3 linked regions of the Saccharomyces cerevisiae S288C genome follow. Changing the gene in region 1 together with any one later gene gives a genetic interaction. Each region holds a gene or a part of one and is shown in the gene's direction. Other genes may lie near its edges.

The links.
Region 2: mutations in SAL1 (region 1) and MTG1 impair growth when combined (synthetic growth defect), as found in Saccharomyces cerevisiae (one study listed by BioGRID).
Region 3: mutations in SAL1 (region 1) and GGC1 are lethal when combined (synthetic lethality), as found in Saccharomyces cerevisiae (one study listed by BioGRID).

What each region holds. Positions count from the first base shown.
Region 1 is NC_001146.8:469,234-472,992, forward strand, and holds SAL1 (Ca(2+)-binding ATP:ADP antiporter SAL1), read left to right. Parts: upstream 1-2,143; coding exon 2,144-3,628; downstream 3,629-3,759. Other genes in the region: MKT1 (Mkt1p), read left to right, coding at 1-390; END3 (End3p), read right to left, coding at 820-1,869. UniProt on the Saccharomyces cerevisiae protein: Calcium-dependent mitochondrial solute carrier.
Region 2 is NC_001145.3:458,868-462,337, reverse strand, and holds MTG1 (putative GTPase MTG1), read left to right. Parts: upstream 1-1,810; coding exon 1,811-2,914; downstream 2,915-3,470. Other genes in the region: ATP25 (Atp25p), read left to right, coding at 1-1,567; pyridoxine biosynthesis protein SNZ1, read right to left, coding at 3,037-3,470. UniProt on the Saccharomyces cerevisiae protein: Mitochondrial GTPase involved in assembly of the large ribosomal subunit. Plays a role in expression of the mitochondrial translational machinery.
Region 3 is NC_001136.10:102,990-106,353, reverse strand, and holds GGC1 (Ggc1p), read left to right. Parts: upstream 1-1,802; coding exon 1,803-2,705; downstream 2,706-3,364. Other genes in the region: ASF2 (Asf2p), read left to right, coding at 1-1,437; YDL199C (uncharacterized protein), read left to right, coding at 3,001-3,364. UniProt on the Saccharomyces cerevisiae protein: Mitochondrial GTP/GDP transporter required for GTP uptake and GDP exit from mitochondria. Involved in mitochondrial iron transport and essential for mitochondrial genome maintenance.

The sequences.
Region 1 (3,759 bases):
TTTGAAGCCGTTTTGATCTCATCTTTAACTTCTGGCGAGTTTAATAGATTATCACTTGATAACTTTGGTTGGGCAAGAAAGATTGTTAGATATTTACCGTTCAAATTAGATTCCCCAAATACTATAATGGCTATGATGTGGGAGTTTTTCTTACAAAAATATCTTCACAATGGTAATGCCAAGAATGATGCATTGTCTTTAGTTGCTACTGAATTCAACACTTACAAATCCACACCAAATCTTGATGAACAGTTTGTCGAATCCCATAGATTTCTTCTTGAAATTTCAAAAGTCATGCAGGAGCTAAATGCTGCGAAATTAATCGATGAAAACGTGTTTAAATTATTCACTAAAGCAGTTGAGTTTACTACAACAGCTCTATCTAGCTGAAGCGTGAGAATGAGTATGATGGAAATAGTGGAACTATTTAAAAAGCACCCAATAAAGAAAGATAGTTACTGTAAAGAGGTATATTATCATTATTCAGAGGGTTCAAGTACCATCATCAAGATTTAACACAAGCACAGTGAATAGCAACAATTAAAGAAAAAACTAATCAAAATCACGGTAGAAATAGGAGAAAAAAAGTAAAACAGAAACTAAGTCACTGTTTCTTTATATGACATATTCTATTATATAAATATGTAAAGAACGCTGAACAGTAAAAATTTTATGAAATTCCGGCAGAGAAGAAAAGGAAAAAATAAGTATACACCACACCGTTACTGGATAGATTGAAGTTCAAATCAAAAAAGTTTACAAGTGAAATAACAAACAGTAAATATTACACATTCATGTACATAAAATTAATTATCGGTGTCAATTGATTTCTGCTTGTAATGCTTGCAATTCGTGTCTCTTATTGTTCAAGTAATTCTCCAATACTTCAACCTGCTGTTCAATGTTATCCAAGTCATCAGTTATCGACCTGATGTTAATCCGCTTAGAAAGTTTTGAGCCTCCTTGAGTTTTTTCACTCTTTTTGTAGTTCAAAAGGCCTTCTAATTGTTCTCTCATGTTCGCAACTTGATCATCTGTCAGAGAAGCATATTTTTGCTTTATACTGTCTTCATTTGAAAGCACGTTACTGCCACTGCTATCGGAACTCGAGTTCTGCCCATTGTCACGCAGATTGTCCACTTCGTTAGCTTCTTCTTTTCTCTTTGTAGGAGGTTGAGAGGACCGTAAATCATAGCTCAGTTGTTTTTTATTGCACACCTCCGCCAGAGAATTTGGTAAACTTGCTGGAATTTCAGCACCCAAATCATTTCTTTGTCTTAAACAGTGAATAAAATAAAAAGTAGGATCTCTATCAATTGATGGCAAATTTTGTGGGTTAATTAAACTCCAAACCTTATTTAAATCTGTCTTACTGATGTTAAAAAATTTTGTGGAAAGTTTTGTTGACAGTTCGTTGAATGTAATAGTACCATCGGTTAGTTTTGCACAGCTATTATAAATTTTTTCATATTGATTCAAATCATCTGGAGACATGTACCAATCTACTTTGATTTCCTTCTTTGGAGGCAAGTCTGCGTTTTCTATTTGCTTGCGCTTCTTTCTTTCTTTGATTAGATTCACCTTACTCCCTGGAATCAACCAATCAGGCAATTCATCTGGAACAGAGCTAATGTTTTTATTAACCATATCAAATATTAATCTCATGCAAATTACAAATTCCTCAAAGTCTAAATTGTCGTCGTCATCAATATCAGCTAAAAACCAAATCTTGTTTAGAACCGATGAATCTAATTTGGAATTATAAAGAATTGGTAAAACCTGGTCATGGTTTACCTTATTCTCTATTGGTTTCAAACCCGAGAAGATTTGCCAGTATTTTTTTATTTCAAATTGTTCCAACTTGGGCATTTTTCAGAGATCCCTGTTATCTTTACCGGCCTTTCCAATACCCACTAACTCTATGGTTATATTACAATCGTCTGATTATAACAGGCAATTAACCTTGTGTTTCTGACGTTCTTTTCATTCATTCTTGATATGTTAAATCATAGGGGTCCTACACGATCGTCAAATATGATATTTAAAAAGTAATAAATAAAAATGCAGCTTTTTTATTAGCGATGGGAAATATTGAATATTTGAAGGGGCAAATAACGTTTAATTCAATCGAATGACGGTCTAAATGCTGCTGAAAAATTGCGAGACGGACAAGCAGCGAGATATACGGTATGCGTGTTTGTTCAAGGAACTTGATGTTAAGGGAAATGGTCAAGTTACTCTAGATAATCTGATAAGTGCTTTTGAGAAGAACGACCATCCGCTCAAGGGAAATGATGAGGCAATCAAAATGCTGTTTACTGCAATGGATGTTAACAAGGACTCTGTAGTTGATTTAAGCGATTTCAAGAAGTATGCTTCCAATGCCGAATCTCAAATTTGGAACGGCTTCCAGAGGATAGATTTAGATCATGACGGTAAGATTGGCATTAACGAAATAAATAGGTATTTGTCAGACCTCGACAACCAGAGCATATGTAATAATGAACTTAATCATGAACTTTCAAATGAAAAGATGAACAAATTCTCGAGGTTTTTTGAATGGGCGTTTCCAAAGAGAAAAGCCAACATTGCGCTACGAGGCCAGGCTAGCCACAAAAAGAATACTGATAATGATCGGTCAAAGAAAACCACCGACTCAGATTTATACGTTACATATGATCAATGGAGAGACTTTTTGCTGCTGGTACCGAGAAAGCAGGGTTCGAGACTTCATACTGCTTATTCCTATTTTTACCTATTCAACGAAGATGTCGATCTGTCCTCAGAGGGAGATGTTACTCTCATAAACGATTTCATTCGCGGGTTCGGGTTTTTTATTGCTGGTGGTATTTCAGGTGTTATTTCAAGGACTTGTACCGCGCCATTTGATAGACTGAAAGTGTTTCTCATCGCAAGAACGGATCTATCCTCGATCTTGTTAAATTCAAAAACAGATCTCCTTGCTAAAAACCCCAATGCTGACATAAACAAGATATCATCTCCATTAGCAAAGGCTGTCAAAAGCTTATATAGGCAAGGCGGGATAAAGGCTTTTTATGTTGGGAACGGTTTAAACGTCATCAAAGTTTTTCCAGAAAGTTCGATAAAGTTTGGTTCTTTCGAGGTCACCAAGAAAATAATGACCAAATTAGAAGGCTGCCGCGACACAAAAGATCTTTCAAAGTTCTCTACTTACATTGCTGGTGGTTTAGCTGGTATGGCAGCTCAGTTTTCCGTTTATCCTATAGATACTTTGAAATTCAGGGTGCAGTGCGCTCCTTTGGACACAAAGTTGAAGGGGAATAATTTGCTCTTTCAGACTGCAAAAGATATGTTTCGAGAGGGGGGGGGTCAGATTATTTTACAGAGGTGTCACAGTCGGTATAGTGGGCATATTTCCCTATGCTGCATTAGATTTGGGGACTTTTTCTGCCTTAAAAAAATGGTATATTGCCAAACAGGCAAAGACCCTGAACCTACCACAAGATCAGGTCACTCTAAGCAACCTGGTTGTACTTCCAATGGGTGCATTCAGTGGAACTGTAGGAGCTTCTGTTGTTTATCCAATCAATCTTTTAAGAACAAGACTACAAGCCCAAGGAACATATGCACATCCTTATGTGTATAACGGCTTTAAAGATGTTTTGTTAAAGACGCTAGAAAGGGAAGGTTATCAAGGTCTATTTAAAGGTCTAGTACCAACTTTAGCAAAAGTATGTCCAGCAGTTTCCATCAGCTATTTATGTTACGAAAATCTGA
Region 2 (3,470 bases), on another chromosome or scaffold:
CAAAGAATTGGAGATACCTAAAACCTCTCCAAACTCATTAAGAAAAATAGCAGACCTCCTAACTGGTAAACTTGGTCTGGATGACTTCCTGGTTTTCGATTTACGGAAGAAAAGCCCAAACTCTGTTTCAGCCGTTAATAAGTTGGGTGACTTCATGGTCATATGTACAGCAAGATCTACCAAACATTGTCATAAAAGTTTCTTAGAGTTGAACAAGTTTTTGAAGCACGAATTCTGTAGTAGTGCATACGTTGAAGGAAACTTTAATGAGCGACAAGAAAGTAGAAGAAAAAGAAGATTAGCAAGAAAATCCAACCTTAGTAAACTATTAGGTAGAAGCTCTGAATGCTCTGCAAAAGACTTAAATAGTGAGGCTTGGTATATGATTGATTGTCGTGTCGATGGTATTTTTGTAAATATTTTGACACAGAGAAGGCGTAATGAATTGAATTTAGAAGAGCTGTATGCACCTGAAAATGAGAAATCTAAGTTCCAAAATATAGATTCAGGTAATGTCCCTACTATTTCAGGGGTAAATGAAATTTCAAGCAACAATAATATTCTTTTAGGCCTAAGAAGACTGGCCCAGCAAAGGAGAAGGTATTCAACTATCAACCCAAACGGGCTAAGTAATTTAAGATACTTTCTACAAAAGGAAGACTTCAAAGGAGCCAATAAGATAATTCAGAGTAGTAGTGGTACTGAAACTCACAATATACGTACTTTGGAGCATGTTAAAAATACTTTAAAGGATTTGGTAGGACAAGAGAGGAAAGTAGATGTTGTTCAATGGAAGTCCTTATTTGACGAACATTCAACTTTTTTAACCATAAATCAATCGGCTGCATATTGGCCACTACGACTAGAATATGCGATACTTCTAAACAAAGCAGACCCACAATTTTATTCAGATCGTGTTTTCCTCAAGGATTATCTACTTTTAAAAAAATCGTTGGGGCAAGAGTTAATAAGGGAAGATCTAATCGCTCTTTTAGAAATGGTTTTGAAAACGCAGCATTCTAGTCATTCATACTTTAACCTAGTAAAGCAAAATAGGGTGATTATCAGAGCTTTGAACCTATTTAAAGGTCTACAAACAGAGGACGATGGCTCAGTTGTTTACGATGAAGTGGTAATATCCCTTCTTTTAAATTCCATGGTCGCGGATGAACGGGTAAAATTGAGATCACTCTACGAGACAATAGACCACATTTTCCAAACATTTGGAGATAAGTTGACTTCAGGCATGATTGTCTCAATATTGCAAAACTTGGCCAAAATCAAAGACTGGAATAAGCTACTTCAAGTCTGGGAAGCTATCACACCAACGGAAGGGGAAGGTCAGGACAAAAGGCCCTGGAATGAATTTATAAATGTTATCAATCAAAGCGGTGATAGTCACGTTATATCGAAAATCGTAAATAATGGTCATTTGCTATGGATCAGACGTTTAAATGTTAACGTAACTCCGGAGTTATGCAACTCCATTAAAGCGTTATTAAAAACCGCTGGAATGGAGAATTCCACATTGGAAGAATTCCTAGTCCGTGGAACAAACAATCAATAGTATTACCTGTATATAATATCTTAATCTCTCGTCGTTCGCCTTATTTATATTTGAATCAAATATTTAATTCTGCCACATGGTAGGTTCATTTTGCCGCAGATCAAAGAACACGGACCATCATGTCAAAAGTACACAATTTTTGTCTTTTCGAAACAATTTGGTTTAGTTATTAGGAGAAGAAAGAACGAATGATAATGCTCATTACTCAGACCTGAATGCAAAAAAGCCAAATCAAATACAGAAATGCACATAAATGTGAGAGGAACTAGGAAAATAATTTCCAACGTTTCATCCTTCACACCAAGATATGAATTTCCAAAGTACAGTATGCCTCTCACTGATTTCAAGGGACACCAAGTCAAAGCTCTTAAAACATTTGAAAAGTTGCTTCCTCAAATGAATATGATAATAGAACTACGTGATATACGTGCCCCGTTATCTACAAGGAATGTGGTTTTCGATCGAATAGCAAGAAAGGAACACGATGTGATGAAATTAGTGGTATACACTAGAAAGGATCTTATGCCCGGCAATAAGCCATATATAGGAAAGTTAAAGAATTGGCATGAAGAGCTGGGAGAAAAGTTTATTTTACTGGATTGCCGAAACAAAACTGACGTCAGGAATCTACTAAAAATACTAGAATGGCAAAATTACGAACTAGAAACAAATGGCGGATATCTACCTATGGGATACCGAGCATTGATTACTGGCATGCCAAATGTTGGAAAATCTACTTTAATAAATAGCTTGAGGACAATTTTTCACAATCAAGTGAATATGGGAAGAAAATTTAAGAAAGTAGCCAAAACTGGTGCAGAAGCTGGTGTTACTAGAGCCACAAGCGAGGTTATTAGAGTAACTTCACGGAATACGGAATCAAGAAATGAAATATACTTGATAGATACTCCAGGAATCGGTGTTCCCGGTCGCGTTTCAGATCATAATAGAATGCTAGGACTGGCGTTGTGTGGTAGTGTTAAAAATAACCTTGTAGATCCAATATTTCAAGCGGATTACCTTTTATACCTAATGAACTTGCAAAATTTGAACGATGGAAGAACAGAGCTTTACCCTGGAAGCACCAATTCTCCCACAAATGATATATATGATGTTTTAAGAAGGCTTCAAGTGAATAAAAGCCAAAATGAAAAATCAACGGCTATCGAGTGGACTAACAAATGGAGGTTGCATGGAAAGGGTATCATATTTGACCCTGAGGTACTGTTGAATAATGACGAGTTTTCTTATAAAAACTATGTAAATGATCAATTGGAAAAGTTAGGAGATCTTTCGTATGAGGGATTGTCTAACAAACTAAAAGGGAACCCCAATCAAGTATTCTAGTAAATAATATCCAGCATACATAAGCTTATCTAATAATTAGATCATTTTACAATGTGTACCGAGTAATACAAAGTTGAGGGGGGAAAAAGTGTTATAATGCTCAAAATACCTGTTCAAAGAAATCACCACCCAATTTCGGAAAGTCTTACTCCATTGGAAGCATGACTAATAGATTCGATTGATACACCACCCATTAACTCTCCTAAGTCACTAGATACTTCCAACAATTTGCTGGGATTGTCAAAGTGAGTGGTAGCCTCTACTACTGCAGTGGCCAACCTTACAGGATTAGATGATTTAAAAATTCCTGAGCCAACAAACACACCATCACAACCCAACTGCATTAACAATGCGGCATCGGCTGGCGTTGCTACACCACCTGCAGCAAAATTTACTACTGGCAACTTACCTTTTTCTAAAACATCTTTCAGCAAAGAAACTGGTACCCTCATTTCCTCAGCAACTTTTGCAATGTCATCTTCGCTCTTCAATTGTTGGCACGCCTTTATCTCCTCTGTAATTCTCCTTATATGCTTGACGGCTTCAGAGACATCGC
Region 3 (3,364 bases), on another chromosome or scaffold:
AAGTCATCTTTAAGGCAGATGAAAAGCAAAGTCAAGGAGCTTCAATCTTTAGTGAATCATTACCGAGAAAATGAAGCCGCTTTAGTGTCTAGCGCCAAGTTATTGTCCGGCGAGATCATAGGCTATGAAATTAAGATGGCTAGTTTACATGGAAAAATGAAAAGTATCCTGGATGAGAACAACGCGTTAAAGGAAACGCACAAGAGCTCTGCTGAAAAGAGAATCGAACTTGTTCGACTTCCCTCTAGCAAAGAAGAACGCAACTACGATGAATACACTTTGCTTGTTAATCTCAAGAAGGAAATCTGCGCCAAGTTACAGGACTACAAAAACGTCCAGAACACGGTGAACACCAAGTTAGATGAGATTCACACGTTCCATGAAAAATACTACGAAGGACTAGAACTAAGTTTAGACAGCAAGGTGTTTGATGCAGAAAGCTCAAAAGAGCTGGCCAAAGTGAGGCGAGAACTGAATAACGTGAGAAAAAATTCCGAAATCAAAGTGAATAACTTGAAAATGCAACTGCTACAAGCAACCAAATCACTGGAGCACTTGAAGAAGCAGGCTAAAGCAAAGGATGACTATCTTAAATGTATTCCTGAGCTGGTCGACAAAGCCAATCTCACGATGTTATCCTACAAGAAAAGCATCGCTAACCAGAGGGAGACTATCGAAGCATTACAAGCAGAACTATCGCAACAATCAGAAACAAAGGGGCAAATAGAAACAGAAACACAAAATCAAGTACAAATCCCCACCAATGTGACTTTGGTGGACCCCTTTGAGGAAAACAATCCAGAGGATTTGTTCGCTATCCAGGAACAGGAATTGCAAGATCTAAGGTTGCATAAGAAAATGGCCGATGAGAGGAGCCGAACTACCCACTTGCATTTAGAAAGAAAAAATAATACCATCAAGCTACTGCAGAGTTACGTGCAATCATTAATTCAACGGCTACCACCAGCCCAGCGCAAACACCATTTGGGCATATTCCAAAAACTTGGTAGCGAAAAATCGTGTCCACTCGCCCCCGCTGTGGCAAGTACATATGCGCCTCTTCTACTCTTATCCCAGCATTCGAACCATCAAGAAATTGACAACACCCCTCAACGGCTTCTATTAGCGGCTCCAGACGGGCAGTCATATTCCGAAAAGAGCACAACACTAAACCTTGATTACTCATCAAGGAAATCCTACTTATCAAGACTACAACCACCACATATAGCCAACCTGAAGTCTTTGACTCTGAAAACTCTGCCAAGGGTGCCCACGGACAGTCCTCAACTTCCTTCAAAAGACAAATCTCAAGAGACTGCAAAGAAAGACGATCGGCCAAAATTGGTGGCAAATGAACCAGTCACACTAGACACATCAACTCCTCCTGTGGCACAAAGCTTGGCGGATTCAAAGCATTGTTCAGGACTACATAAATAAATATAAATACGAAGCGGTAGAGATCACTACGGCATCCGCCTATCTGCAAAGGAAGCTCTATCGCAAACATACCACCGTTAATCTTCGCTGCCACAGTTTCCTTGTAGACCAATGGCATGTAGCACCGCCGCCACTGCCCGAAAAAAAAAGAAAATGAAAATTAAAGAACGATCGCAATTCTTGATAAAGCTCGAGAAAACAAAAACTCGTGAGTCACTGTGCATTTGCTGTCACATTTTCTACAAAGCGACGACATAGATATATAGAGGTGACTATATAAATCGTGTATCTCTTTTGATGGTTAATATTTAGCCTTTAGACATATATCAAACAAAGCATCTTCCAAAGTATTAGAAAAGGGAAATATGCCTCATACCGATAAGAAACAATCAGGATTAGCTCGTCTTTTGGGGTCCGCCTCTGCAGGCATAATGGAAATTGCCGTCTTCCATCCTGTGGACACCATTTCCAAAAGACTGATGTCCAACCACACCAAAATAACCTCTGGCCAGGAATTGAATCGTGTTATTTTTCGTGATCATTTCAGCGAACCTTTGGGCAAACGTTTGTTTACCTTGTTCCCGGGTCTCGGTTACGCTGCATCATACAAAGTTCTTCAAAGAGTGTATAAATATGGTGGTCAGCCTTTTGCTAACGAGTTTTTGAATAAGCACTACAAAAAGGATTTTGATAATCTTTTCGGTGAAAAGACTGGTAAGGCAATGAGATCCGCCGCTGCTGGATCTTTGATTGGTATTGGTGAAATTGTTCTTTTGCCGCTGGACGTGTTGAAGATTAAGAGACAGACCAATCCCGAATCGTTTAAAGGTAGAGGTTTCATCAAGATTTTGAGAGACGAAGGCCTGTTCAACTTATATAGGGGTTGGGGGTGGACGGCTGCCAGAAATGCTCCCGGTTCATTCGCCCTTTTTGGTGGTAATGCATTCGCCAAGGAGTATATCTTGGGTTTGAAAGATTATTCTCAAGCTACTTGGTCCCAAAACTTCATCTCCTCCATCGTCGGTGCTTGCTCCTCTCTGATCGTTTCTGCTCCATTAGATGTCATCAAGACAAGAATTCAAAATAGGAATTTTGATAATCCTGAAAGCGGGTTGAGAATCGTCAAAAACACTCTGAAAAATGAAGGTGTAACTGCGTTTTTCAAGGGCTTAACACCTAAATTACTAACAACGGGTCCAAAACTGGTTTTCTCATTTGCGTTAGCTCAATCTTTGATACCTAGATTCGATAACCTGTTGAGCAAATGAAGTACATGAACTTCTTGTCTATTTTCCTTGGCATTCAGCTTGTGAATATAAAATGTATAACAATATGAGTTTGTACTTTATGTATTATTTCCTGTTTTTTGACTAACTACTTTTTCCAATGTAATAGCTGTATCACCGTACCGAGGTAAGGACGTCAGCCGCGTAGTTCTAAAAAAATAAAGGATTGCTTTGAAGGGCTTCTGGGCCACTTCAGGACAAAAAGAATGAACATAAAGAAGAGCGCTAAATTTAATACTACAGAGGAACCTGTTACTATCTCAGCTTTTTCAAGAAAATGAAACCTCCGTTAAACATGTCACGTTCAAATAAACCACTTACTCAGGAAGCTAATAGTTCGGCGCATATTGATAGGGCACATCAGCTAGCACAGGATTTTAACAGTAAACAGGATGATACCGCACTAACTTCACTGCCCCACAAGAACCCCGACATATTCAGATTTGAGAACAACATCACAGCTCATAGCTCGCGTCGTGGTTCTCTATATAGAGACAGCGATGCTACTGTGGTTTTGCCGCTTTCTGAACATACCCCTAGATTATCAATGGATGATCCATACCGCCAATTACTACAACAGGCTGAAATCTCACAACTACGAAGTAAGAAAAAAAGGCATTCCAGTCGAGTTTTGCGTACTT